Lonchura striata: one gene and its partner. The protein of the gene in region 2 interacts with the protein of the main gene of each other region in a pairwise test. Links are inferred from orthologs where the notes say so. Each region holds a gene or a part of one and is shown on either strand. Other genes may lie near its edges.

What was found.
Region 1: the proteins of FHL5 (region 2) and CREM interact in a two-hybrid assay, tested with the Homo sapiens proteins (2 studies listed by BioGRID). The link is inferred for Lonchura striata from reciprocal best matches to the Homo sapiens genes FHL5 and CREM.

What each region holds. Positions count from the first base shown.
Region 1 is NC_134603.1:143,818,485-143,834,154, forward strand, and holds the start of CREM (cAMP-responsive element modulator), read left to right. Parts: upstream 1-8,591; 5' UTR 8,592-8,768; intron 8,769-14,212; 5' UTR 14,213-14,216; coding exon 14,217-14,330; intron 14,331-15,670.
Region 2 is NC_134605.1:75,229,399-75,245,068, forward strand, and holds the start of FHL5 (four and a half LIM domains protein 5), read right to left. Parts: upstream 8,395-15,670; 5' UTR 8,383-8,394; coding exon 8,224-8,382; intron 6,025-8,223; coding exon 5,850-6,024; intron 3,592-5,849; coding exon 3,422-3,591; intron 1,197-3,421; coding exon 1,010-1,196; intron 1-1,009. UniProt on the Homo sapiens protein: May be involved in the regulation of spermatogenesis. Stimulates CREM transcriptional activity in a phosphorylation-independent manner.

The DNA of each region.
Region 1 (15,670 bases), on a different chromosome or scaffold from region 2:
AAATTAAAGTAAGAATGGACCTTTATTTCATTATAGATATTTTAATCTAGACTTTTATTGTGGGTATTTGTCTTTCATATGGTAATGTGCAAAATATATGTATAAACTGAACAAATCCTTTGTGATTATAAAAATATGCAGTATTTAAGTATTAAGCAATTAAGTATTATTTTTGTAATTTTTTTTTTAGGTTTATGAAGAATTTAAAATGTGTGGTTATTTAATCTGCTTTAATCCCTTTAATTTTAAGAAGCAGATGCTCACTGCACTCCTGGCCACAAGATGTCAGTACTGAATAGATTAAAAAGTAGCAGTTCAGGAGTTTCAGCTTGCACAACCTACAAAACCAACAAAACCCACCCCTTTTGTCCATGAAATAGGAAATCTAGCAAAAGTTGAACTCTCTCAAACAACATTTATTAGTTAGCCATCAAGTGTTTAGTTCAACTCCCAGATTTATTCTATCCTTCCCCAGGACTGCTTGGAAAAAAAATTGCAAATGTAATTTTTTTTCCTATCTATTATTAAAAAGGGGCACCAATTTATTTTCATGTCATTGTAGTTAAGAAGTTATCTGTCTGAGCAAATCTAGTTATTCTTTCCTTTTTTTCCCCAAAAAATTTCTAAAAAATATTCTGCAACATTATTGACAAGCAAAATCATGTATTTAGAACTTGTATTTAGAGATCAATGAGCTGCCAAGACAAGCAAAATCATGTATTGACAAGCAAAATCATGTATTTAGAACTTGTATTTAGAGATCAATGAGCTGCCAAGACTCTATGATGCAATTACTGAGCCTAAATGATTTTATTTAAAGGAATTTTGAGATATTAAACAGCTATGAGGTATCAAAAGAGTAAAACATTCTGGAGCTTTTGTGTGTTCAGTTACAAGGTTGTAAATCCTTTCCGTTCAGTAAGTGCATCAGATGCCAACGGCTCAGTACTTGCTATGTGCTGAGTGAACCAGATATAACAATTGACCAACAAACAAGCAACCTGGCATGAAAGAGGTTTCAGTGTTCCTATTTATCATATTGCTTATCTAAGCATTTGAGAAAAGAATGCAAAAAGCTTCTAAAGAAGCTATTAGGTTCTCTAGCTTTATTTTCTGAATTGTTAAAAATGAAGGAGTCCTGGCTGAGACACCATATGGGTGGGTTTGTGTTAATTACTGGGATTTTGCTTTCAGGTTTAATTTGAATATGAAACTACCCCTGAAATTTACTCTAGTAAATAAGCTAGTTTGTAGTTTTCATGCTTTAGCTTGTATACATAAAATCCCAAAGCTAGTACGGGTTAGGGAAGTGTGGTGCCACAGCTGAGCACATGGAACTGTTCAAATATCATCACTTGCTCCTGCTGGTGGAAATGAGAGAGAGAGCCATGAGAGGATGCTGCACACAGGGGAAGGGAAGCTGCAGTTCCAAGGTGTCGCTGTCGAGGTAGGACGGGAATGAGGAGACTGACTCAGAAGGCTGTAATACTAAAACTCTGATTTATTCAAAATACACCGCTCTTTTATACAGAGCTCCACAAGGACCAAATCCATTGGTTCTGAAGTGAAAACAACCCACAGCATTGGTGCAGAGTGTTTGACACACAGTGATAGAACTTAACTATAAACAATGTGAAAAACAAGAAAGATAAAGCATTATTTACATTCTTTCCCAGCTCTTTCCCAGGCTTTTTGCCTGGCTAGAAACTCAGTTTCTTTCTTTGACTGAATCTGACACCCACACCAAGGAAGTTCTGTTACGTCTACCAGGTCATGAGCCAGGAATGTATTTGTTTATAGTACCAGCAATGAACCAAACAATATTCTAAATGTCTCCCCTTTTGATTCAGAAATTATGCAATTATCTTCAGAAAGTGGTTCAGGTCCCTTTTAGCAGTGCCTTTTAATAAAAGGCCCATAGATCATGTGTACTTAGATGTGTACATAGATGTGCACTGCTGTACAATCATTTTTAAAAATCATAGTGAAATAATCCTTTCATGGATATGCAGCAACACAGTGAAAAGACATTGCTCAGTACCTCCAGTCCTGTGTTCAGTTCTACGCCTGCCACTTCAAGAAAGACATTGAGGTGCTGAAGCATGTCTGGAGAAGGGGAATGAAGCTGGTGACGTGTATAGAAAATAAGTCATATGAGAATGCAGCTGGGGCAGCTGGGGTGTTTAGCCTTGAGGAGTCTCAGAGGAGACCTTATTTCTCTCTAAAACTCCTTGAAAGGAAGTGTAGCCAGGTGGGGGTCAACCTCTGCTCCCAGGCAACCAGACAGGATGAAAGGAAGAGGCCTCAAGCTGAGATGTTCAGGTTGGAAGAATCTCTTCACTCAAAGGTTGTCAACCATTGGAATGGGCTGCCCAGGGAGGAGATGCAGTCACCATCCTGGAAGATGTTCAATAAACAACTGGATGTGGCATTTAGTGCTGTGGTTTATTTGACAAGGTAAGGTGGTGTTCAGCCACAGGTTGGACTCCATGATCTTTTCCAACCTCCTATAATCCTATGATTTTCTAATCCTATGATTTTATGAACATATATTGTGAGAGGAAGGCAGCTGCTGCTTTTTGTTTGCTAGGCACAATGTTTTGGAGAAAATAGTAATGTAAATCTTGAGTGGTTCTACCACTATACTAAAAATGGTAGCATACAGCTCTATGGCATCTATGTGTACAGTACATATAAATATACACACAGATGGAAGAAAAACACCTGAACTTGGTGACTTTAGAACCCCTAGTGAAGACTCTTAGGCAACATAACCTAATGTTGAGACAAAGCTGAATTTGCAGAGCTGTGGTTTCCAGGAAAAAAAAAAACAAAACAACCCAAAAGACAAGGGAAAAAGAGCAAATAGTATCTGTCTCTTCTAAAATATGATAAATGGGACATGTCTAGTGTCCATTTCTAACATGTCATTTTGCAAATTAAACTAGGCATCATTCAATTTCCTTGGGTTTTCTTGAGAAATTATTTTATAAAAGGATATATATGTCTCTCAAATGATCCAGTAAAATGCTTATTTCATACTTAATGGAGATGGAAACCTCCTGTAAGGTGCAAAAGTACTAGACAAATAGAATGACAAAAAACAGCTCATAACTTAGCCAGCTGGCAAAATACCATCATCAAAGAAATAAATTAGTTGAGCTAGCATTTGATGAAAGATATATCCTTTTCAGAGAAATATGTTCTTTAGGCATTTATCTGTATCACTGGTAGATTAAGAACTAGCAATTCTTGACATGAAAGAAATACAGAAATTCTCTCATATAAATACATTCCAAATAGCCTGACAATCTTCTGTTATACTCTTCCATTTAGTTATTTTTCACTTGTACTTCTTCCTTCCCTTTATAGCTCCCAGACACCTTTATGTCCATTTATTCAGCAGCTTTTGCTTTTCATTTTATATTCTGCATTCTTGCTCTTCACTGTCATTTACAACCATTTACCACCAACAAAACAACCTGCTCCCCCATCAAAAACAACCTACAGTTGCTAGAAAATCTAGTCTACAGCCATTGTGTTAACCAAATTAAAATTATTTTTTAATATATATTTTTTCACTTAATATTTTGAATAAATATGAACCCTTTGTATATGTTTGCCTTTTACTGCATAATCTGAATGTTTGATGTCACTCACATTTGTGTGAGGTAGTTCCTCAATGTCCTATTAGTGTTGGCCACATTCCTGCACTGGCTTACTCTGCCTTACAGGGTACATCTTTTTCAAGGCACAAGTGTATGTCAACTGTTTGGGATATCCATATTCCTGTGGCACAGTGTACTCACAGTCAACAACAAACTCTTCTTTGTGTGCTTTTTTTAACACAGCCTATTCACAAAACTTTTAACAGTAAAGTTTTATGTATTTAAATTTTAAATACAACTCAAACAGTTATTGGGAAATTTAATATTCATGCTATAAATACAAAATAGTGCTTTATACAAATCTGGTACTTTTCACCTGAAATGTTCAAAGATCTCTACAAAGGACAATAAATTGTAAATGGTTATGAATACTGTGAAGTACTTGTTATATACATGTTATGAGGAAGGTGTTATATAAGTAAAATTTATTGTTCAGCACAGGAAACAAAATTTTCATGTAGTAGATCTAAGTTAGCATTATTTTTTTCTGCTGCAACAAAAATATCATTATGCATATATCTTGAAGTCACCAGTCAATCCTTTAAATATTTCAGATACTTTACATTGTTCCCTAGTAAGAATATTATTTTCCCATTATAATGATTTCTCTCATGAAATGAATATGCAACAAATGAATATGTAGCAATTTATACAATGTCAAGTTATTTGCCAAACGATAAGTTTCTCCCTTGTTTTGTTTGTTCTGGCTCTAGCATGTGGGGGGACCTGACCTAGGACTGGTAGATTAGGAAACAGTCTGAATCCTGTCAGTTCTCCTCATGACTTACAAACACCATACCAGGTATCTAAGTACACATTCACAAATCTTTTTAGCCATTTGTGTTGTTGTTCAAGCAGTGATTAATGAAGTGATCGCAGTTTAGCTGCTAGTGTACTCCGATTTGCTTTGCTAAGTTTTAATGCATCAATAAGCACCTCCTTTCAAACTGCAGAACATACCAGACAGTAGTATATGACTTGGGAAACCTGTTCTGTATTTATAAGTTTCATATTACAAATCCTAAAAAAGTAAAAAAAAAAAAAAAACCAAACAAACAAAACAAACACAAACAAACCATGTTAAAATGGTTAAAATGTTGTATTTCATTTTTGGAGTGTAAAATATTATCACATTACTGCAACTTATTATCCAAAATTAAATCATTACAAACCCAAGAAAATCAAAGTAACAATAATTTAAAAAATGGACCTGGAATACTATTTGATATCCCCTTCACCAATAATAATGTCCAACCCTTCCAAATAAAGAAAGCCTAGTGTTTACATGGCATAAGGCAAACTAGATCTAGCTGAGGTACTGCAAAGCCTCACAGCTGTTAGGCCAGGCTTCTCACTAAGCCAGACCTAGGACTCCTCAAGGCTATTCCTTCCTGTGCTTCTGGCTTATGCAACCCACAAAAGTCAAGGCAGTGCCTTAGCACAGCACTAATTTAGGCAGTATTGATTTTCAGAGGTTCCAGTGATGGCAGTAGCAAATAATAACAATAAAAGGATCATCAATTTGCTCTTGTACTACACGTACTAGTCAGTTTTATTTCCAACTTGACAGTTTAGGAAAGGAGGCATTACAAAATACTTATAATTCTACAGATGTGTAATTAAAAAAAAAAAACTATATACATTCAAAAAAATACTTACAAACCTTTTACCTTTTACAATATTGTTCAATGTTTGCCTTTGGAAGGGTGTGCCATTTCTGTTCCTATTTGTTACCTAATGGAAGTCCATATTTTTCTTGCATTGCTAGGAGTTTAGAAGAGAAAAGAATAGGTAAAATAAATTATTAGTCTTGTATTTTATACTCATTAAAATGTACTTCTTGCCAGATCTGTTCTCTTTCAGACTGATCAGAATTCTGTTGCAGCATGCAGGTATTGTCTACTTCTGACTTTCATCACATTCACAAAATAAATTGTGAAAACAGTGTCTATGTGTTTACTGCACTTTCCTGTGACTACTCTGCAAGTTCTGCACTTGTCCCTCTATTTCCTTGCAGGCAATGAAAGAGTAGAGGTAGGGTTATTCAACGATCAGCTGAAATTGGAGTGGTCCATGAGGAGACTTGTGGTGAAATTATTCATCAGTAAGTATCAGTATTATTTCAAATAGGATACCAGTCTATTTTTTCTGTCAGTTTTACCTCTATTATCTTCAGATGTCTGGATTCTAATTAAAGAGAAATTGACAACTAAGCTAGGTAGCATATCCATTTTGCTGTAGTTGTTTATGCCAAGACAATCCATGAACTTTTTAACAAACTAAATAGGCATTTCATAAGATTAGAGCTGAAATGTACAAAATTCTTTCAATCCCCTTAAAAAATCTATTTAAAAGGTAACTGTGAGATTCATATGTAGAATCAGCTGTCTGAAAATTACAGAGATAGCACTCCTACTGATGTAATGTGCATTGGTGAAATATATATGTTCTCTGCAAAGAGCACCATGTTTCTTTTTGGTTCCAAAAGAAGTTGCTACAACTCCCTGTTCATCTATAACCCTCCCTGGTTAGGGTAGTACTTCTCTCTGTGTGATGGTGCAGTGGGGATCAGACTTAAGAATTGTTCCAGGTTGAAAGAAACTTAATGGCTCTGCCCACTGAAGTTTTAAAAAAAATTAAAAAAAGCAATGGACATTTCGAGATAGAGAGAAAAGATTATTCAGGTGGTCATTCTGACAGCAGCAAAGAGCCTGGATTTCAAGTTTATGTTCTTACATAAACGACGAAAATCACAACAAATCCTGACTTGTTTGGCCTTCTAATGGATTGCTTTTGGTCTCAGCACTTGAAATTAAAAGGGTTCACATCAGGCATTGATCCCAATTTAAAGAGAACTGGTTTTAGTAGAAGTGAGCACTTTCGTGGCACAGGTGGGTCTGGCCTCAGGTAACAAACATGGTACCCCAGCCCTGCTGTGGTAGGAACACAAGTCCCTTTTCATTCTCTTCCTCTTCCAGCCTGACAACTTCGGCGAGCTGCATCAAGAGCCAAATCTGGTTAGTCATCCTTGTATCACCAAGGTCTAAGGCCCTCTGGCAGTTCACTTATGCTTCTGACACACTTAATTACGAGAGAAGTGGTATAAATAGTAATAAATTCTTAGTTAAACATTTCAAAGTGTTTATGGCTTACTTGAAAACTAATAAAAAATAACTGCTCGTCCAAATCCAGGCCCTAAGAGTTCATGGAAATTCTCATTTTGTTTACAGGTAACTCACTCCAGTGGTTTCCATTATTTAACACTTCATTTGAAATTTCTTCCTGTTTGTCTTAAGACTTCTACCTTCAAAAATATTTGCTTCTAATATCATAAGAGCCATTTTTGGCTTTTTGAATACACAAGGCAAAACTGGAATTTCTTCCAAAGGTTTCAGCAGAGTAATTCTCAGTAGTTTAACACTTGTCTGTTCATTTGATTATCTTGCTATTCTAACAAATATTATTAATTGACAAGAGAAAACATATATTTTAATGAATGAGCATAACAATAGTGTACGTAATGGATTAGATCTTAAAGCAGAATTACGGGAAGAGAAACTCCTATTTAAAAACCCAGAACAGACACATAACATATAAACAAAAAACAAGGGAGGGAAACAGAATTCAAAACAGGAAGGGGGTGTTCAATATTTCAACAAAGGAAATGTAGGATAAAAACTGAAAACTTGTACAAGCAATAGTGGTGATTGAAGATTCTGTATTTTTTCCACTAGATTGTGATTTTGATAGCTGTGTTAACTCCTGTGAAGGAAATTAAAGAACTAAATGCTTAAAGGTAAGACCTTTGCAAATAAGTATGAGTCATCTCTTACGAAGTCAGAGATAAGAATTATTTGGTTTTTTTAAAAACACAGGAAACCAATACGCAGGTTCTCTCCGTGCCATGAATAAGACTGAGTGTTTGACCTGCATGGACCTATCACCAATCCTGACACACACATCCTCCAATTCTTTAATCATGAGTTATGTGAAATTAACTTAGGTTTTTCATGTTTATTTAGCACACTGAGTATATTCCTACAGTAAAAAAAAAAATAACCTAAACCATAAAAATAGGTAAATGCATTACATAACTTCAGAATATATGTGCAGTGATGTGTGCAATTTAAAATTAATTGCAGTATAATCCCTTGTAACACTACTTTGTAAAATACTGATCAGCAATAAACATGCGATGTTCAATCACCCATAGTAACAAAGTTTATGGCTTACGCATTTATTGCATTTGAACATTATTAGCCCTGAGCCGACGGGCCCTGCGCTTCCGGCAAAGGACGTGCTCACACCTTCAGCACAAACCCAGCATGACTCAGGGTATTTGGGCGTAATCCCGCGGCAGCGAGCGGGGAAACACGCACGTCGCTCCCGCTTGTTGCCTCTTGGCAACTTCTGATTTACTTAGCCAAATAAATGTAAAAGAACTATGTCATACTATGAATGACTGATGTAAGGACCGTGCTTTTACTAATTACAAAACAACCTGCGGGGAGCATCTCGGCGGGGCGGCCTCTGGGCAGGTTTCCGTGTCCGTCAGGGCTCCGGCACCGCCCAGGGAACAACCGGGGGTTGTGCCTCCTCCCCTCCCTAGGCCAGCGCGGGGACGGCCGGGGCTGGACCCTGCGATGGAGCCCAGCCAACCGCCCTTATCGGCGGGCCCGGCCGGCGCGGGGAGCAGCGGGCACCGCCCCGCTATCGCACGCCCGGAGCGCGGCGCGGGGAGCCGGCGGGCCCGCGGCCGCCGCGGCTGTTACCGGCCGCCCCCGCCCCCGGCGGCGCGGGGCCGCCCCGCCCGCACCGCGGCCCGCCCCGGCCAATGGGCGGCGCCGGCGGGGCCCCGCGGCGGCGGTTGGTCAGCGCCGCGGCCGTTGCGCCCCGCGGCCGCCCGGCACCGCCGCCCGCCCGCGCGCGGCTCCGCCTCCCGCCGTGGCCGCTGGCGCTGGGAGGCCCCGCAGACGCCATTTCCTCGGCGCCCCCGCGGCGGCGCGGCTGCATCAGCGCTGACGTGAGGCCGACGTGCGGCTCCGCCCGGCCCGATCCCCCCCACCCCCTGTGACGGGGGCAGCACGTACAGGGCGGCGGGTGAGTGCGGGAGGGGGCGGGGACACGTGTGCGCGCAGCCCGACCCCCTGCGGGCCGGGAGCGGGGCAGCGCGGAGGGCAGCGGGCGGCGCGGCGGGCAGGGACGGGACGGGACGGGCAGGCGGGGGGCGCTGTGCCGCGCTTGGCGCAGCCCCGCCGCGGGAGCGCGCGGGAGGCGGCGGGGGCGCGTCCCCGCCGGCAGCCGGGGGCGCGCTGCGCTCAGGGACGGCGGCGCAGAGCCCGCACGGCGCTGTGGGGCTGCCCCGGGGCGGCTGCGCGGAGCGCCGGCTCCGGTACCGCCCGGCAGCCGCGGCGCTCGCCGGGCTCCGGCAGGCGGTGGCTCCAGAGCTTGCTCGGGACGCCGGCTCGGCTCGCCCGGCGTTGCGGCTCGGAGCGGGGTCAGCGCCTGCCCGCGGCGGGCAGAGCGCCCCGACCGGCCCGTCCTGGGGTCTGCGCGGGGCTGCCCCGGCCGAGGGCAGCGGCGGTGCCCGGTGGCTTTTGTGCCTTAGTCCGTTACTCGCGGTTATCGCCTTGCCCGTAGAGCGTTCGGAGCTGGGTCAGAACAAGTGGGGAGGGATCACAGTGGGCTTCGTGAGTTCGAAGTCTTGCTTGAAGCTTTTATCTGCATCCCCCACTGCTGTGACAGCATCATTTTTGGTGCTGAGTGCAGCCGCTGTTAAGTGGTTCCAGGGACTGATGCTTGACGGATGCTCTGGCTTACCCCGGCTGGGCCCCTCTGAAGGGGCCGCGTGTCCGCTCGCAGCCGGCTCTGCGCTGCATTGGCAGCGTGGTTGAGGCGGCAGGCGCCGAGTGGCCGAGTAGCATTGCCTGTGCTCAGAGTAATGTTGGGGTTTTAAGATTTTTGGGGAAGAAAATAGGGAAATAAGACTGTAGGAGACACAAGAACCTTAGTGATGAAGCTTCTGTTGATACTGAAAACTTTCAGACCCAGCAGTTTGCAGACAGTGCACTGTGGTGCTGCTGCACATTTTACTTGACTGAATTCTGTGATCACCTTATCAGCTGGTGTTCTTCATGCTACCAGCATGGTAAAACTGTTATTACAGAGTTGATAGAAAACACAGTGCTCTTCTGAAACCAGTGTATTCTGAGAGTTTCCATACTAACTGTGGGGTCAGCAATAAATGCAAAACAGGTGTTTGTACATTCGCATTCTTGATTTCTAGTAACTCCCCTGTGAATAAAGGCCTTCAAAGAGATTTGGAGCAAGGCTGAAACATATTTTTTTAGCCCCTTACGATTGATTTCCTATGTATCAAACCACATTTGTAAATGTAAACAGTCCCTGATGTATAAAGGATGATTGAAATAAAAAAGTTGTTTTTAAAAATGTCTGTGGGTATTTATTCAGACAGTCACACACTTCCAGTTATGCAAAATACTGTAGCAATGTGCTTTTGCAGTATAATTTCACCAATAGACCTTAAATATTATGTTGATATGCAGTGATGTAAAACAAACAGCAGTACAGGGAGGCGTGAAAGGATTTCTTGTGCTCTTTATTGCAAAAGAACATAGCTTGCTAGGGATGCTAGCCTTCATCTCTTACCTATGGGCAAAAATACAAAGAATTCACACCTTTAGCTGTAAATTACTCAAAATTTTCTAGGAAAAATTTTCTCTTTTCCTGTAGCTGATTCCATCTGTCAGATTTCTCCTGTCAGGGGTGGTTCATCTCGCAGTTGAATAAGCTTTTGATGTGTACTGTATGCATCATCTTAATCAGTGTTTATCTGCTACTGATCACTGCCCTGCTGTCCATTAGTCTCAGTGACTACAGTAAAGATGTGCTTAGGTATATTGAAATGTTGCTGGTTTGGTAACAGTTAAACCTCCTGCCAGATCCTGAAGATCTTTTTGCAATGTTGTAGGAAGAAGCAAAGATCTTTGCTTCATTATGGAAAACCATTTTTTCCCCCTTTTTATGTGTGTGCAGAGGTATAACTTATTTATTAATTTAAAAATCTAGACTAGTATTTTAAATTATTGTTCAGTCTTTGTAAGTAACTAAGATTGAAAATGTAAGAAAAAGATGTATTAATAATGAGTATAAGACTAAAACTTGTATATAATTAGTCATACAATGAAGAAAAACATTATAATGTTAAACAGGACCCAAGACCACTTACTTTGAACTATTTGCTTAGTTTTCCTTTAAAAATAGAAGGAAGGTTATGTCAACTTTTAAGTGTGATGTGTACTGCTACTGATAGACTTTTATAAAGGATTTTAGAGGCTTTGCGGAAAATTTGGTTTTTCTTTCTTGGAAACTTAATAGCAATGAATGTGTTAATATCTGCTTACAATGAAGACTGATTGAGTGTGGTATGTGTGGAAACTGTTTTCTGAATTGGATTAGTAACAGTTTCATGCCACAGTCTGTATTACTGACATTTTAGAAACAGCATAATTATAGTATTGCTCGGTATTTTTTCTGTGTATATATTAAAAAGTTTGATGTATTCATGTTGACATGATACATAGTACAGGAAATAAAAACCCTGTACAGTTCAGGTTATCTCTGAAGACAATGACAAGCTCATCTGAAATGCAGGAGTTCCTTGGCTTGGTCTTAAGCTGTGTACAAGCCCATATAAACTGCACAGCTGAGTGTGACTGTGCCACCACTGACCCTGTGGGCTCAAATGACTGCAGCTGACCAGCTCCTGCCAGGCCAGCGATCCCATGGCTGTGTCTGTCAAAGATTCCTGTCTTGTATCATGTCTGAATTGTGACACTAATGTGCTAGTTTGTCTTAAATCATCATTCTCACTGAAGTTTTATGCCAAGATAGCTCATGTATCTTTTAGAATTACTCATATACTTTTTTTTTTTATTTTGTTTTGTTTTTTTTTTTTTTTTTTGTTTTTATTTTAAGGCTGTGATTGGATCTTTATATTTGGATGTTGTTTCAAGTCAAGTCTCTGTTTGGTCACAGAGGTTGTCAAAAAGAAAAGTATTTTGCTATGTTTCACAGTAGTGATTGCATTTTTATGGCAGTCACATTTTCAGACTTTACTCCACCCTGCTAAAGTTCTCAATTAAGCAATCATTTGTATTAGGAGTCAGAATATACACAATTATAGATGGAAAATCTATATAAATTCTGGAGTTTTCCGTGTATATCAAAAATCTTAATTATGTTTTTCACTCCACTGACATGTACAGTTCTTGCTGTTGTTTTTCTAATTAAAGATAAATAATAAAAAAATACCCCTTTCTCTGTACTGCATTCCCCAAAGTACGAGGAATAACTTTGTTAGATTTTCTGCTGCACTGATGTTGTTTTTGTAGCTTTTTGCTAACTTAGTTAATGCAGCACTGCAGATGAAAAGTCTCGGGGAGAAAAATCCTGATAAAGTAGTAGAAATAGATACATTTTTATACTGTTCTGTAATCAGTGAGAAATTAAGCTAAAAATCAGGAACTAAATTTTTTCCAAGATGAAAAATATCACTTTCAGGGTAAAAATTCTATGAAATGCATTCAGTGGGAATAAAAGTACTTGTTTTTTTGTTCTTATTTGGTTTTGGGTGGATTTTTTGTTTTGGTTTTTTTTTTTTTTGTTTTTGGTTTTTTTTTCTGTTTTCTGTGACAGATGGCTCTGGATACAAAAAATAGTTCAGGGCCTTCATAAAGTGAATTAATTCTGGCTATATTCCCATCTTTAGGAAGAGATTACAATGAATATGTTGCCGGTACATAGGCATTATTTATTCTTGGTGTGTGAGCTGTTCTGAAGCGTATTCTTACTAGAACCCCATGGACCTTTCATATTTGAGACTTTTTTTCCCTACTTTATTATTGTTATTATATTGCACATATATAAAACCAGCATAGTTTTATTAGGTAATATCTTATAGAAAATTATGATTAAAAGCTTGGTGAAAAGCTTGGTAAAAACATTTTCCTCAGAGCTGTTAGACTTTGGTGAATTTCAGTAGACATTTCATTAGATTGTATCTAAACAAAAAGGTAATTAGTGGCAACTTGCAAGAGAAAATGTAGAAAGATTTTAGGTGTAAAATAGCTCCATATAATTCTAATCTGAATTGATACTGGCATAGGGTATGTAACTTCTCTGAGCAGAAATACTCACGTTAACCCATAAAATGGTGAATTGTTTTGCAGCTTTGTTACTAATAGCTATAGTACTGTTAAGTCTGGTCAGTAGAGTACCATTTGAGGCATATGAGCTACAAATATGCTTCTTTGCATCATTTTACTGGGTATGTTTTCATATTTTCATGCCTTTATTTTGGGCACAAATTTGATTTCTAAAAAAGTAATAAAAAGTGTTCTCTTCAAAGATTGTGGAATGTTCTGTAAAATAGTGCCACAAAAGGAGTTTGGTTACATTTAATTTCTTTAATGTAGTTAACTTATAACAGGCACTAAATTCCAGAGCCCTCAGAGTGAGGTGGGCAGCAGTGCCTGCCTGCCTCTTGCATCTCTCAGTGCAAGTCCTGAGAAGAAACCAAAGTAATTATCAGCCAGCTGAAATTATTGAACTTTGACCTCAGGCTTGTCATCCCCTAGTTGCAGAACCTGAACCTGGGGAACTGAGATTTGCTGCCTGTTAAATCTCACAACTAATATCATGTCTCCCTTTTGAGGCTGTCAATTGGTTGTGTAAGTAGGGTGTAGGTGGGAGCGTGCCTGCAGGGCATCCTGCCTGCCTCTGCCTGACCCTATCCTGTCTCTCCTCTGTTTGTAAACTGACCTGTTGCCATGGCAATGTTTGACATCACCTGTTCAATGTTGCACCTTCAGTGCAGGGTTTGGTAGGAGAGAAAGGGAGCCGAAGAGATCCAAGCTCTTGTTTTAAATCTCACACCTTCCGTTATGACTAAGTGTGCCAAGAAATATCGAAAAGGAACTGTCAGGTAATTGCATTTTTATATAGCAGATATGTAGCAAATTTGGAAGTTCTTGCTATGAAGTTTAAACTCTTAGTTTACATTGAGGATCAGCAAGTTCTTAGTTTTCAATGCAATCTATCCTACTTTAAACCTGTAAAGTGAGAAGAATTGTTGTGGCTCTTGAGCCATGAGTAGTTTACAGACAATTCAAGTGTAGATGACAACAGGGAGTAGGCATCTTGGAAGTGTAAGAGGGCTGTAGCAGCCCATGAGGCTGAAGGGACCTTCTGTGGGCAGCACTGCATGGGACCCTGGCACTCTGCTTGTCCCTCCCCTGAGAACCATCTCCAGAGCTGCCTCTCCCTACAGCTTTCCAAAATACTTGTTTGAGAGCTCCTGGATATATTTTAGTACAGAGGAATGAAGAAAAGACTTCGTTTTGACAGATACATATTTATTTTCTGTCTGCATTAAATATAAAATAGTTTGGAGTTACTCTCCCTAGCTGCCTGATATACCTCCCTGTACTGAGTTATTTAAATGTGTATGTACTTGCTTTTAGACTGATGACCATGGAAATGGTTGAACAGGATGACAGTGCAGCGGATTCTCTGACAGAGAGACGTGCTGGTCCCCTTCAGAATCAGCCAGGCCAGAATCAGATTTCCTCAGGATCTGAGGTAAGTTGAAATGTGGAAAGATGAGAAGAATCAATGAAGTGATATTCAGAACTGCTATGATTTTTAAACTATAAATCTTTGTGGTATTCTCATGTTTTATCTTGATATTAAATAGGAAAAATAAAGCAAAGATTTACCGGAAACTATGCCTTCAGTAGTTAACAAAGGACTAATATGACATCAGGTCTGTTGAAAGGTAACATTTTTAGGAGCCCTTTCAGACAAGAGTGGTCAGTAAACAAACGGGTTTTTTCATTTTACTTCCACAAGGTGATTTTTAAAAGATGAGCTACAGTCTTTAAGAATTGAGGTGGCTACAAGATCAAACTTCATTCACACAAGACTAAACTTCATTTGTGTATCTAGAAGATGTGTTCTATAACAAAAATGAAAACATGAATAAAAATATCTGTAGTTCTCTTCCTAGTTCCAGTTTTTGTACAGAATGTATTTCATCTAGTTGCAGTTACTCTTTTAATGTGTCCTTGTTTTGTTTCATTCCTGTGTATCCAATGAGAGTGTCTGGACTTCTAAAAGCATACTTTACATGTTTTCTATAGTTGCTCTACCTGGATTATTGTTTGGTAGTGAATGGATAAAAGATTATGTAGTAACAATTCTCAAGCATTAAAAATATGTATTGTAATAGTCAGCACTTGAGAGAAATAGTGTTCCTGACAGTACTAAGATTTATAGCTTCAGAAAAGTGTATGGACCACTTAAAAGGATTTTCAAAAGCCCTTTTTTAAATAAAATAACTGATTTTCAAAAATGTCTTACAGACTTTTTTCATCATTGTAAGTTTGAAGTTACTTGTTAAGACTTGATGCCACATATTTATGTTAGATACTTGATTTACATTATAGATACATTTTTAAAACTGAAGACAGCTGCTCTTTTGTCAGATCTTCAGACAAAAAGTAGACCACAAAATATTTATCAACCTTTTTTTGTTGGTTTTGATGCATGCAGCATTGGGAATATTGTTTGTTTTTTTTTCTTTAAGGAATTTATTTGGTTTGCTCTGTTGGTGTCATCCCCTCATTTCTTCTTTAGTGGTTCTGTTCAAATTTTCATATGATGAATGATGTGTAAAATCTATTGGCTTGTGCAATAGCCTCTGCAGGAGACATCTGTGAATTCTGTCACTTGGGTTTTTTAGAGTTGATCCAGGGACAAAGGTGTCACTAATGCTGTAGGAGAGTTTTTGCACTCCTATATTGTGCAATGTATAACACTTTCTATGTTTGTCTGCATTTAACACTTGAATTCTGTGTGTGAAGGTTCAGCTGTACAGGGAATGGGCCTCACGCCTTCCAGTTAAAATGAGTAACTCTGAA
Region 2 (15,670 bases):
GATCAGGTTGTCATTCACATAGCAAATGGAAAAATGAACAAAAATCCATTAAAATTAAACACAATGTTTAATGTACAATAGTGTGAAATACTCTTTATTGGCTGAATTGAAAAATAACTTTAAAATTTAAACAGTGGGAAATACTTCAAGCAAAGCCACAAGTCGCTTGCATATCCCATTACGAGATCTGAACACAATGGGTTTATCAGAAAGTCCATTCAGGTTTGCTGATCTTCCCAACAAACTCTCATGGAAGCTATTTGCAATATGTGTATAGTTTATATACAACTCTGAATGAAATTTAATAATTTTGGTTTTGTTTTTTTTTTTTAATCATGCATATGTGATTGGGTATTCATTGATTTCTTTGTCCAGTGACATATGCAGCATGCACCTGTAAGAATCAGGAAGTACTTTTCAACAGCTGACTCCACACATAATAGGATTAAAGTGCAGAACACCAGCAAATGCTCTCAGAAAACTTCAGCTATCATAGGCCAGTGACAAACATGTTTAATTATAAATCATATATAAGTATACAAGGATTCATGAAATAGAACTCTGATGCATTTGGCAAGCTTTCTAATTTGACAGGTGTGTCTTACCAGCAGGCAGTTAATCTGTGTTCAGTTTGATCAAATTTGCATTTAAAAACAAAACTGAAGAAATCACAGAGGGGCTTGTGTGTACTGTCCTGGGAAGAACAAAAAAGCACCTTTTAAAATATTCTTAAGGAGGAATTTTACTACAGAAAACACTACCTCAAAAAAACGGAGGAACTCCTTTGGGCACATAAAGCAACTCCTCATCCGTTAGGGAGCATGTGTGATCAGTATGTCCTAGCAAGATACAAGACATGTGACACAGAGAGAGTCTGATAGTTAACTCCTTCAGTCTTTCATTATGATGGGAGTAATCTTAATGTTTTTTTTTCCTAAAGTGAAAGTCTTTGTTGGGAGGAGACTGATGATTCATTTCTGTATGGTCCCCTCTAGAAGATGAGATTCACCTGTAATAGGCGTCTTGCAAGCAGCACACTTCTTGGCATGAAATTTGCTGAAGCAGTCTACACAGTATGGGTACTCATCTTTGGAAATGAATCTTTGTCGAGACAGCTGAGTTTTACACACAGCACACACAAAGCATTCTTTATGCCAAGGCTGGTCATGGTAGGTCACTCCTCCAGAAGTTATAACCTAATGTATTGACAAAGAAGGGCAGAGCAAAGAAACAATGGTGTGAATCATGACATAAGTACTTCCACTTGTTTTCTCTCTTTCAACATGCACAAGAGAAGAGAGGGTGGTTAACTTTTTTCATCTGGATTATCCATTTAACTATACTGCAGTTGAAGTCCATATGCTACTTGTTTGTTATTTTCAATTTTCGACCTCAGTATAACCTCATAATTTGTAATAAATATATTATCTTTAATTTTTTCTATTATACTGTAGATAAGATTAGATTAGATTAGATTAGAATCAGGCATGCTCTGAGAAAATAAATTCTCAATGATAGTGGGTAAGAGAACTGATGCTGAGATAATAGTTAATCTCCCACCAGTATTTTTCTGTCTCTCAAGTGCAACAGTATTTTAAATAGGAAGAAAGACAGTAAGGAAACAGAAGTAAAATAGAACAGAGATCTACACAGTCAGAAGAAGAAAAAAATCATGTTTATCAGTGTCATCAACTTCTGTTTTCCAGCAACACACTTACAGCTCTGCACTGGTTATTTCTGAAGAGGGAAATTTCCAGTTGTTCTGTGGCTCCCATATGTGTGGTAAAGAGCTGGTTTCACAGAATTTGTGAGAGACTACAGAGAAATTTCTATAAAGGTGAGCTGTAAGATAGTGTTTCTACTATCAAGTCACATGCATGACAGGAAATTAATTAATGAGTGAATGAATGAATGAATGAATACTGTTGAAATAGGAGAAAGAAATTGAAGAAACTTAAGTAAAAATAGTGGTATCATCAAATTTCCCTGGGGAATACAGTTTCAGGAAAATCAAGAATAATATAGGATCAAGCAATAAAGAGATTTAAACAGTTTCCAATCCCTTTAACGTTCCAGTTTTGGGCTATTTTGTGGTTACCTTTACTTTTCCATTAAAATCTAAAAATCACTGACAAAAATTCAAGATTCATTTTGGCAATTTAATCTATTTGGGCTCAATTCTCATGTATGGGAATAGATGCAAGTTTCAGAAAAAAAATGGTTTTAGCTGTTATGTAGAGGGACTATTTGTATTCCTAGAAATTATAAGAAGCAAATCCTGATTATTTCATGTAGGAAGTGCTAACATCAATGCCTGTAATAAACATCAAGCATAATTACTATAATTGCCATGTGTTCATTTAATGCAAGTTAAAGCCTGGATGTAGAGACATGGGAATATATAAAAGTACTTTCTAAAGTTTAACTACTGAAGGAAAAAGTAGGCAGGATATTTTCCTGAAATTAAAAGCTTTTGTTAGAGGTAAAGGTTTGCAGGTAATCATGACATAACTATAGGAAATTATAGGAATATAATTCCTATAATTATAGGAATTATACATGGGAATATATAAAAGTACTTTCTAAAGTTTAACTACTGAAAGAAAAAGTAGGCAGAATATTTTCCTGAAATTAAAAGATTTTGTTAGAGGTAAAGGTTTGCAGGTAATTACATAACTATAGGAAATTTGATGAAGCAGAAAAAAAAATAACTTCCAGAGTAATGCAGGTACTAAAGAATAAATAAAATTCTGCCCTAAAAACAGCTTAAAACATTTCTCTAGAGAAAAGTATCACACTTGAATAGTATGATGCTTTTCATCAACAACAGGCAATCTTAAAACATGAGAAGTCAAGGGAGGGAAGAACTGATTTATCTGTACTTGGGAGAATAAAGAAATCAAATCAAGTTTTCTGGTGCCCATAAAGGTATCATCACATATTGCATCAGTGGAACTCCTGATTAGTGTTATCACAATTGAATGTTACTTGATCTGCTAATTGCCTGATATATTTCAAGAAAAAATAGTCAAGATTGTGGATGATTTGCTCATTTGAGGTGGCTAATTATGCATATGAATAAATCTGAAAAATTATGGAAAGAGAGGCATGTTTACAAAGGCAAAATCAGGTATTTTCAAGAAAGAAGGGTTATGTATAACTTTCCATTTAATCTTTTCTAAAAGTCACAATCAATAACTAATAATCAATAGCCCAAAGCATTTGTTTTGGCAGATATAATCGATCTTAGATTAACAAGAGTGAACAGCAGACACTGTCACAGTTGCCTTTCAGTGTCCAGTGTCAATGGGAAGATTCCGATATTACTCTTAGTTCACCACATATTTCACATAATCCGGCCCTTTCTCCCATGAGCAATATTGCCTCATTAGGGCATTTTTTGTATTGCGTGTTTAATTACCTTTTTGCAAGCATAGCAATGGTGAGCAAATTGCTTCTCAAAACAGGGCACACAGTAATTCTCATTGTCTTTGGTGATTAATGGTTTTGTTCCCAATGGTTGCTGACAATACTGGCAAACAAAACAGGATTCATGCCAGGAACTTCCCTTAAATTCCATTTTACGTGAACCTGAAAAAAACCACAGTGAACAATCCTCTCAGATATAGCCTTGTAATATAAGTTTTAAATGTTGGGAATGCTCTTGGTTTTGAACCTTCTACCTCAGCATTGGATTACCCAAGAAAACAGTAAATTTCAATGTAATAGTGCTTTGAAGAATGCACTTGAAATTTCAAGAACACATCCAGTGCCATATATTCATCTGGCAAAAGATAGGCTGAATTGCCTAAGCTGTGATTTTTAGAGTCTGTTATTATAAGAATCTTTTGGGGTTTCTTTGTGATATGCTTGAATTACTCAGTTTCTCTTAAAGCAGCCAACTCAGTGATAATGTTCAGTACACAGCACTTTTATAAATTAGAGATTAACTTGTTGGATGTTTAGTATATTTATTATTGTCCTATCTTCTCTCTTTCTTAAATTAAGGCTCCTTTACTTATAAATGCATTATTTATCTTAATCAGCTTAAATTGGCAACTTTCTAAAAAGAAATATTTTTTTCTGTGATACTGCACATTACTGCACATTACTGCACATTATTGCACATTACTGCCTTCTCCTATAGCTCACCATTTCTGTCCTAGACCAACAATTCTTTTTATAATATTTAACTAGATGCTTTTGATACAGCACAAGAACAGAAAGTTGCTCAGTTAAATGTTTGTCAGAGGAGTTTTAGAGCTTTTATCACTGTATGTAGGTGTCCTATCTTCATATAGAAACACAAGTCTGTTACGCACATATATCTGGGAGAAATATTTCCAGTGGATCTCCATCCTTAATTTCTTATCTGTGAGTAGCATCAGACTGAACTTAGAGGTGCAAGGTGCTTTACCATCCTTTCCACATGAAGAAGACTGCTGCTATAACTGATGAGTTCCACTGTACCTGTTTCCTGAAAAGTGGGGCCAGTGGAGAAACTACTGGCTGTATTTAGATACAAAAGGTTTACACTTTCATCCCAGTGATCAGAAGGACAATTTCACTGTCCTTCACAACTCAGAGCTAGCAAACTGATGAGAAGGAAGTTAATGATACTGAGACAGGCTGGCATTCCCATGCCACTGTTGCACTGTTTCTCACACCTTCAGGCACTTGCTGCAAGGATTTAGACTCTGTGACAAAACAAGAAGCATGGATATACACCAGAAGATAATAATACAAACCTGAGTGTATTCTGGCACCTTTTTGACCACATCTAGTGGGGTATGCCTATTTGACAACATTTTTGTAAACCATATACTATTCAAGTAGTTTATAATGCTTAAAATGAACACAATTATATTGTTAAAATATTTGTTTCCACTAATGCAGGTTTTACTTGTAATGAAAAAGAAACAAACTGTAAAAATACAAACTAGTGTTACAGATTGTATACAACCTGAGTAATCTAGTACCAGTAGTAAAACTATAATTTTGCACAGCCTGAATCTTACTGTTCAGCATTAAGAAATACTGAAAAATAAAATTCTAACTGCAAAATTTACCAATGTTCTCTGTTTCAAACGTTATGGACACACTTTCCTAAGCAATCAGCTTCTTTTTGCAACAAATGGTGCTGTGGCTTCTCTCAGGTGCCTGTGAAGAGGCAGCTTTTGTGTAGTCACTCTGCTTCATGAGCTTTACTGATGTGGTAACAATGAAAAGTCTAGAGCATGTCCTGAACAGACACAATCAGAAGCTGAGAAGCAGTTTAGTGGAATGTGCAGAATTTTCAAGATTGCTAATGACAGGAAGTAAGCCTATTGCAAACATGGACAATATTGTAAAATGGACTTGTATTCATTTTAGTAAAAATGCTGCTAATGATCTGAAAGCAAATTGTCATGTTTTGACAATTTAAACAAAAAAATATTTCTGAGTGAAAGCACTAGGATAAAGAACACAAACACAGGGTCTGGTCAATGTGGGAAACATGCAGATGATTTATCTAATCTGGCACTTCTGCTCACAATAGCTCTGTTTGTCTGCTTATGCTCACAGTGGGATATGCTTCCTAAGAACTGCAACAGAATCAAGGACATCACATGGACACATTTTACCCTGCATTGAACTCTTAATATTTTTAAAAGGATTCATAAGACCTGTTAGTGATCAGAAGTGTCTGCCTGCCTTCTCCCCACTGCTGGGAGAATTCCACACAAAGGAAGAGTAGTCTCCTCCAAGCTGTTCTGAAAGTCAAGGGTCTTGTAACTTGGTTATTCCAGGAGGTGGTTATCATTAAAAATGTGGTTCCATTTCTCAGCAAAGGGCCCCTGTTGTCTTACCAGGCATAATGGTCTTCTGGCAGTGAAAACACTTGGATGAGTACTCATCAGAGTAGCACTCGGTGCACAGCAAGACCTCGTCCTTGGCAGCAAAGGGTTTCTCCACGAGTGAGCGACTGCACTTGGCACACCTGAAGCACCCCTCATGCCAGTGGCGGCCTTTGTAGGCCAGATCCTTGGAGAAAGTAAGTCCATGTTAGTGAGAATATTTATTTACAGTGGTTTTATCCTTCAATTCCTTCCAGAACTAAAACAAGAAAGGAAGAGCATCGCAGGGGCGGACCCAGCCAGAAGTGTGCTCAGGGAAGAGGCAGGTACTCAGTGTCACATTGTTGTGTGGATCTCTTGCAGATGCCATTAGGAGCTTCTTTGACAGAATGTCCTTCCTTATGTAACACAGAGGTATGTTTGTATTGGAAAAACAACATTATATATTACAGTTGTCTTTTAAGGGGAAACGAGTGATCAACATTTTTAATGTGCACAGACCACTGGAGAGGAAGTCCATATTCTATAGAATTTGAAATTAATATTTTCAGTGTTACTACTTCCAGCTGACATGACAGAATGCTGTTATGTCAGAAATCAAGCAATTAAAATCTTATTGAGAACAAAATAATTATTAGCAAGATTAAAAAAAATTCCTTTTGATATATCTGATACATCTGATATAAATCCCCCTGAAAACTTGGCAGAAAAATGTTTGTTTAAGAGTCAGTGGGCTTAAGGGATGAAAGAGCTAACAGTATATATATGAGATCCTGACTAAGAACTCAAAAAAAAAAAAAAAAAGACCAAACAGCAGATTTAATTTCCCCACCGTTAGAAAAGACAGGGAAAAATGCACCTCCAAAAAACCCTCCCAGCTTAAAAAACAAACCCTTCCAGGACTCTTTTATAAGTAAGAAACATGAAAGGGCACAAATCCAATCTCATTGTTCTCCTTGATCATGTCCCTGCCTTTTAAAGAGCTAAAAATAAAAGAAATACCATGCTTCACTTCAGGAGGTGCTGAGCATTTACCAGTTGCATTTGCTTTCGTTAGCACTCTGAACCTTGCAGGAACTCGGCTGTCAGCCCAGAGCAGCCTGAGGCAAAGACTGAGTGAGGAGGAGAGGAAGAAAACCAAGCTCTAACCCCTTGGCAGAGGTGAGACAATCAGCTGTAGATCTCTGTGTGCCACTTTTCTAGATGTCTCTAGCCAGGTGCACTCCTTTCTTACACGTCTGCTTTTTCCTCTCATTTTTCCCTTCCATTCAGTCCAAAGACATGGCTTTTTGTTTATGATCCTCAACAAGAGTAATCCTGTCACTTATTTAATTTTTAATTTTAAAGATGAAATTAAGTGAACTCAAAGCATGTGTTCTCCTGGTGAATCTGACTGCTGCTACGTGTACAGTGTTGCTGTGGGTGAAATGCTGATGAGAGTTTGAGGAGTGTCTTCAACCAAATCAGCATTTTCCTTAGATGATTCCTGGATGTAGACTATGTGCTTTGAAGTGCTTGGGCTGGGAAAGCCTTCCAATATGTTTATTTTAATATATTTCTGTCCTTTTATTTCTAAGGAACATAGGCAAAGAAAGCATGGGGAGAAGGTGACCAGTACACACTGAACTTGGCAAAATAAATGATTTTTGATAGGTTTCATTTGACCTTAAAATTCAATGTCAAGTGTATGTCCTCTATATTGAAGTATGGGGTACTAGAAACCCTGTCAAAAACCACAGAAGAGCTTGAATTATTAATTAATATTGTAAAAAACTGAGAGGTGAAAGACAGGCAGCAGAAACACTGCCACTAATATACCATCTGTGAGATGAGCAAGGTAAGCATGGAATTTAGCAGAAATTAAAAAATACTTTATTTCCAAAAGAGAGAGAGAGAATATGCAAATTATAAACGTTGTCTTCTAAGCTTGGCATCTGCTTGTCAACACCTACAGTAAAAGTAATTTATTCAATGCTCAAAACATTTATTCAATGAACATGTCTCAGAAATTCTGAGGTGTCAATCAACCTGATACACTGAATTGCACCATCCACCCTATCACCCCTCCAGCACTGTGCAGCCCCTGCAGCCAATGAGTGACTGGAGGTGAAGGATGGAGCTTAGCTGAGGTCCACACACCCACCACAGCCTTGCTGTAAACCTGGGGCATATGCATGTGCAGATTTCCTCATCTTTGATCCCAGAGCTTTCCTTTTTCATGGAAAATAGCACTGTTTCACTGCTGTGTGTGGATGTACAACAGCTATGGCTAGGTCTCTTCAGCAATACAGGGATATGAAAAGGGGTGGATATCAAATCTACCATTAAAGAAATTTGATTTGTGTATAATTTAACAAGGAACAAAAAGTTCAAGCCAAATCTTTACCTTGGAGTTGCACTCAATGAGCTGCTTGCACTCCTGGCAGGGGTTGGCATACAGGCTGTCATAGCACGGAACACAGTAAGCATTTTCTTCTCTTAGTGCATATTTCCTGCCACGGAGGGACTGCAGGCAGAAATGACAATCTGTGTGGCTGCTGGTCATCCTGCTGGGACCCTCCACGTGATCTGCAAAAGATGGAAAAGTCGTGTAATTCAGTGCATAATGCTTGCTCAAATACTAAGTAATGCTGCATTACCTGTGAAAGACAGGCATTTCCTGGTCATTTGCAGTGCCCTGGATTTCTTAATGCTGGCTTGTTCAACAACAAAATGGTAGCCTTTAACAACATATACTGTGAATTGTATCACTTACATGATGAGGAGCAAGAGGGCTGCTTCAGCTTATTCTAACGCTGTTTCAGGCCAGACACCTGAAAATGAAGCCAACTTCACATTCCCTACATAAAACTACTGGCATTATGAGCATTATGTACTGGATCCTGAGATATACTTCATCCAGAAATTGGGTAATGGAGATAGAAGCAATAATTCAGAAATGAAACCAACTGCAGAGTTAAAAGGCCAAAGAGAAGAGGCAGGCACTTTGTAGTGTGTTCCTGACTTGCTCTTGATACTCGTGTCCTTCTACTCGTTCCTTTCTTTTCAAAATACCCCCACATCTACCTGACCCAATGGAAGGAAGACAAGGGGCTCCAGGATATATGACTGTTTTTTGCATTATTCCAACTGTGCTGCTAATATTTGGCGACATTTTAAAGTCACACAAATATTCCCGGAGAGTAAAAGAGTAAAATATAAAGAAAAATAAACTAAATAGCAAGTCAAACAAAATCAGAACTCAAAGAAAGTTTTCCTTGTTGTTATTGGAAAAGATTGTTTTTCTTACATTTTTCTTTATTTCTATATTGGATTCCACATTGGCAGTACCAAAATAATGTGAAATAGTTTATATTTCTGTGCCAGACAAGTGCAGGAAATACCACAAATCTATTGAGAATCAGTTGTATGAATTTCCCATCCTTCAGTTTTTCAGGCTTAAGAGGCTTGGACAAACATCCAAACCTCAGCTGCTTATAGATCTGCAATAATAGATGTTTTAAGAATTGTGGATTTTAAGCCCTATTTCAGTCTTCTTATTGCTGGTTGGATCATCATCTCTTTGCTAAAATTGGGTCTTGATTCTTGGAAATGAAGGAAGAAGAAACCAGAAAGTTCATAGTGAAGCAACACCGAAAACATCTGCTGGGCTCATTGGGTTGCACTCTTCATTAAACTCAATGAGTGTATCTGCAGCCAGCACCAGCAATCATTAATTTTAGAGGAGTTGAAAACAACTGGAGAAGGTCTAAAATATTTATGTGTCAGTGACTTTGGGCAGCTGAAATTTTTGCACTTTGAATAACAGGGCAAATTAGTTTCTCTTAACCAGATGCAGAGCCTGAGAATAAAGTAGAACATGCAGAAGACAATATAAGAACATAGAGAAAATTTGAGGGAGTTCTTATCCATGACAAAGCCTACATCTAGCCCACTTAGAGTTGCAACCTCACACTTTGTTTTTATGCACTCACTGATGGCCTGAACCATACCTACAGTTGAGCTTTAAAAAGGCATAAAATATTTTCCTGGGTTTCTGCTTTGGTAAGCTCTAAACCAAAATGGTTGTTTGAGCTGTGAGAAAAAAGCAATTACTGCAGGTTTCCCCTAGCACCAACGCATAAGGCCAGGCATTTATGAATCTGTTCTGGGAGATGTAGTAGTAAAAAAGTGAAAAGGGGGCAGGGAGAGCGGCTGTCATACTAATTTCAGACCAAAAGTAATGACTTGGCTAGAAAGCTTGTTGTTCCTATAAATTGAAAATCTTTGGGGTTGAATTGATATATGGTATTTCTTACTGCCCTTAATATTTGTGTCAGCCAAGACAGTGTGTAGTAAGGAAATAATCTGGAACCCAGATCAGTGGGAAACATGCTTTCTTAAAAATATTTCTGATGTGTTTTATGTGATATCCTTGGAAAAATAATATAACAGGGCTTGAATCAGGACTTCCATTTCCTTAAGATCAAACAGATTTGAATGTGTAACAAATAAACCCATTTATATAAGAAAATTACATCCATCAGCTTGTACATTTACAGAACATGACATATAAAACCAGGCAGAGCTCAGTTCATTTAATACACAATCACAGTCATGACCAAAGTCAAGGTTAAGTTTTGCCCATTTTGCTCTTTATTGGGGAAGAAGTATGAATTGGTGTCTAAGGACACAATCAAGGAGTGTTTATGGTTAACTCCATAGTTAAGGTCACAGAAAAGGCTTGAAAACTGGGTTTCAGAGGATTTTCATTTTTTTTAGTGGGAATTAAAGTTATGAACTGCCTTGGAGGATAACCCCAAGTGAACCACCTTTCTGATCCCCTCCGTGCTGGATCAGTACTCCTGCTTCCTGACAGAGTTTCATCTCAGTCTAAAAGTGGCAACAGCAAAATCCAAACAGGGCATTCATAAAAGTTTTGTTACTTATAGCACATTTTTGTTACACAAAGCTCACCAACAAATAGCTTCCCATGTCTGTAGAAACATCTCTGTTTTTTTATCCTAATAAATGTCAATCAGGTTTTCTAAGTTATCAAAACCTCTGCATTCCAAATAATTTTCTTTAAAACGTGGCTATCTTGATTAATGCTTTTTCTCCCCCAGAAAGTCAGTCTGTTCCAGGAAGCACAGGCTGTGTGCACAAACAAGACCCACTACTGTAATACTCCAGAACTACTGAATTTGCAACGTGATTATTCTCTTAAACCCCTATATGGATATAAGAACAAAGTATTATTAATCCTGTTGTACAGATGAGAGCTGTTGCTTGAGAACTTTAATAAAATACCCCAAGAACAGAGTCAAAGCCTGAGGGTGTCCTTGGGCTGCTTCTCTAGTAAAATGCTCAAGGTGCCCAAGACTTTTCTTCAGAAAATCTTCAGTTTGACCATGAATCATCATAAAAGACCATGTTTGGGAATGAAGCAGCAATGGTATGCAAAAGAATGAAGATTTTTTTGAAAACCTTTTGGCAAAAATATGGGTAACCTTTGAGAACTACTTTTACCATTAGAAAATGCAACAAAAAAGGTAAATCTCATCACTCCCAGCACCACTTATCCATGCTCCAATAAATAAGTAATGGTACGAGCGCCACACAGTGAAGTAGAATGTTTTTCTTGTGCTTTGATCCTAATCTCTAGAGAAATATGTTTACTTTAAGTTTGCTGGAAGCTAGACTTTGTGTTTTGAAGGTCAGCTAAGAAATCTCTGGAGATCTGATGTTATTCACTCTCGTGGAATGAAATGCTGACTCCAGCATTCCAGCTGCTAACTCCAGTCCTAGGCACAGGGAAAGACTGCCATGTTGCCCTTCCTTGGGAAAAGATGATTTTATTATTTAAATTGGAACATTTTCAATTGGAAGCTAAATACTGTTGATTTTTATGTACCTGGTTAGCAGGGATACGAGCTATCATTTTAAAGGTTAAGAATATTCCAAGAAGGTGCAGAGAGATGTTGCCAAGGACATGAGGACATTGTAACTGGAGTCCCTGGGGTCAGATTTGAGGATGCAGCAGTCTCATGGACTGAATGATAAAAGAGATGATAATACAAAAAAGTCAGTCAGCCTGCTGTTAAAGCAGATTAAGATAGAATTTAGCTACAACAAATTCAGACAGGGACTTTCTGGAGAGTCAAATTATTTCACATAAAATGCACTAGAAGACTTCCAGTGAAGACAGCTGTAAGAACATGGTTGTGAAGTTGAGTCCTGATAAATATGGAACCATCAGGAAAAGAATGTTTTGGTTTTTTTCCCATTGGAGCTAAAAAGCAGAGCCAGAAGGTTAATATACATTTCAATAATTAATCTTGATGTTTTCTATAAATATATGTTAATCTTCCTGACATCATAAAAAAATAAAAAGCCCAAAAACATTCATACTACTGAGAAAAGAATTAGTATATACATATGGATGTAGATATGTACATACAGGTAAAAGTGTTCTATCTTTCACTTTGTGGAAATTCTAATGGAATATTTCTTAATCTAAATATATCTACCACTGAACTCCATGATCTTTTTCTTTAACAACAAACTATTTCTTAGAGAGGCAGAAAGAAAAAAAAAAAAAGATGGGAAAAAATCCTTTGAACAGCACTGAAGGATAAGAAAAACAATTTGATATCTTATGATGAGGACACCCTTGCAAGTTGCCCTAGGCACTTGTTCATTTTCATGTAAGTGCATTCTTTTATCTTCTAATGCTATTTGCCTTATTTACATGAATTTGCTGACAATTTTCTCTATTTCTATTTTTGTCTCATGCATTTACATACATTAAGAGTTCTGTAATATTTGCTTTTCTAAAAATGGCTACAGAAGCAATAGAAACTAGGGGCATATATTACAGATCAAGGCAAACCAAGAACCTACTGGAAAGAAGACACAGATATTAACTCTGAGCTATCTTATCTCTGTGGCACAGGACAGTAATACAGCGTCAGGTCCTGGAAGCATCTGAGTGAGTGCAGAGTTCTCACTGTTGAAATCCTCCTTTAAGCAGCCAGGACATATGCCAAACAGGACACAGCTGTAAGAATCCAAATATTCTGCTTCATGGTCCACAAGTGACACTGTTTTGGTGGGATGTCAAGGCAAAGCAAATATTTTAGAGGTTGGTCTGGTACTGAATTGTACTGTGTTTACACACCCCATGACCACAAGCAAAAAGGGCAAGAGCTATGGCTTAACTAGGGGAACAAGTATCTCAGGAATTTTGTAATTTTTTCCTTAATTGGTATTGCTGTGTGCTTTGTTTACACCATACAAGCTCAAATGGTGTAGTCATCTAAATTCTTCCTTTTTTTTTTTTTCTGAAATAATTCTTACCCACATTTTTTACAGGTTTTCACATAGTCTGGTAGAGCCAGAGTTTTCTCCTGTGTCATTACGGAGCTCATTCCTTTCTGACTCCTGTCAAATGTATGGAATAAAATGAAGTGATGAAATAATTTGGCTGTGCACTGTTGTAACTTTCAATGTAAAATCCTGTCAGTATTCTTAGCTGTACTTTCCTTATTGAACCAGAAAACAGGTTTGAGGATTGCATCTGTTACAAAGGGTCATCTGAGAAAGACTACTCAAATTGACTGGTGAGTTAGATGGGACAGACTGGCACCCACAGCAAACTGGCAGGTGACACCACAGTGGGAGGAGAGGCTGACACACCACATGGATGTGCTGTTATCTAGGGAGCCCTCCCCATAACTGGAGAAGCGGGGTGACAGGAGGCTCGTGAGGTTCAGCAGGGGCAGTTGCAAGGTGATTCTGTGATACAGAAAATATATGACTGTTGAATGACAAAACAGGGAGGGTAAAATTCTCCACAAACCCTCAATATTCTTTTATGGGCATTAGAATAGGAATGGGGACATTCTCATCACAACAAAACAGTTCTCTTGTAGATGCCTGTTTTTGACAAGTACCCTTTCATGCCTTTACACTCACCTGCAATCCAGGATTAGGGAATCATGAATGATACTTCAAAAAGTGTTTAAATAAAGAGAAAGTGGAAGTTAAAAATTAAGACATGCACTGACGTCCTGATCTGAGACTTCCACTAGTGAGTTCATCCCTGTTGTGCAAATCATAGAGTCATAGAATTTTAAGGGTTGGAAGGAACCTTAAGGATCATCTGGTTCCAACTCAAATGCCATGGTCAGGGGCACCTCTCACTAGACCGGCTTGCTCAATGCCCCATCCAATCTGGCTGTGAAAACTTCCAGGGCTGAGGCATGAATAATTTCTCTGAGCAGCCTGCTCCAGTGCCTCACCACCCACACAGTGAAGAATTTCTTCCTAATGTCTATAATAAGTTTCCCATCTTTCAGTTTGTACACATTACTCCTTGTCCTATCACTACAGTTCCTGATGAAGAGTCCCTCTCCAGCTTCCCACCAGGCCCCCTTTGGATACCAGTAGGGAGCAGCATCAGAGAAGCACTTTGGAACCATCTCTGCTAGAACAGCATCTGCACAGCTGGGCAGAAGTGCCCCAAGGAAAGCAGCATCTCAGCCATACACTGACACTACCTGGCAGGGACACACCTGCCTGGAAGTGACACAAGCCTGCCTTTGGGACTGAAATCTTTCCCAGGGAAAACAGTTGTTATAAGAAATGATACCTGCGTTATACAAGGGTGAGTGAAGTGCCTGGAGGTCACCAATCAAAACAGTCTTGCCACTAACAAGAAGTAACAGAACTTCAATAGGGAATGCTGATTCTGACAGTAATCTTTAAGATCTTAATGAAAAAATATGTAATTTCTCATCTTTGCAGATCTCCTAGTTGTAGAGACCAGATTTCCCTACCCTTACATTTTATTTCATGAATAGCAAGGTGGATGAATATTACTCTATTGTATGAGAAGGGGTGCATCACATGAATTACAATCATTAAAAAAAAACCAAAACTACAAATGACTACACAGCACAACTTTTTCTAGAAGGGTTGTTTAAAAGCCTGTGACCTACTTAGAACTCCTTTAAGAAATAAAATAAGCAAAAATATAAAGATCATCATCAGCAGCAGCATTGTTAGCAACAAGCCAAAATTGGAAAGGATTTTCATTACCCTATTTTTACCCTATTTAAAAAAAGAAAGACTTGCTTCCCCCAAACCCAAACACAAATCCCCCAAATGATAATGAAACATCTGCTGCAGTGGCTTTTACTCTTACCTTCAGCTGTGCTATGCCAACCTGACCTAATTTCCTGAGGAAAAATATAAACCGAGAAACAGCACTCTTTTAATAAAAGGATGACACCTTATCAAAATGAAACAAATCTAAAACTTTCTAATCTCAGCCTTGTTAAGAGATTGTGATGAGTTAGATGGCATTACAGCTTAGGAAAAGCAAATGCTACTGTCAGTAGTACTGGTATGTAACATCCCTACTTCAATTGTCATTTTTTCCCATGTATTTTGATTTGTAGGCCAAATATTCCATAGGCCAGTTTTGCTGCTTGCAGAGCTTCCTCAGACTTGATAAGAAGGCTGCCACCTTCTTATCAAACTCATCTCTGAAAATAGGGATGATATGGCTCTGCAGACAAGCCCTAAGGTGCTATTACACCAAAAGAAATCACTGTTTGTAAAACCACTGCTGTACAGTTTAAGAAGTGCTGGCCACTGCAGATATCTTCCCGTTATATGTGAGGTGTTTGGGGTGACCACTGCTGTGCCACTCACTCTCCAATGCTTCCCAAGAGAAAACAGACTTCAAGATGGGCAATTCCAAGAGGCAGGATCAAGTAATAATGGAATGGTTCGGGTTGGACACAAAACCATTTAAGGGACCATAAAGATCACCTATTCCCAACCCC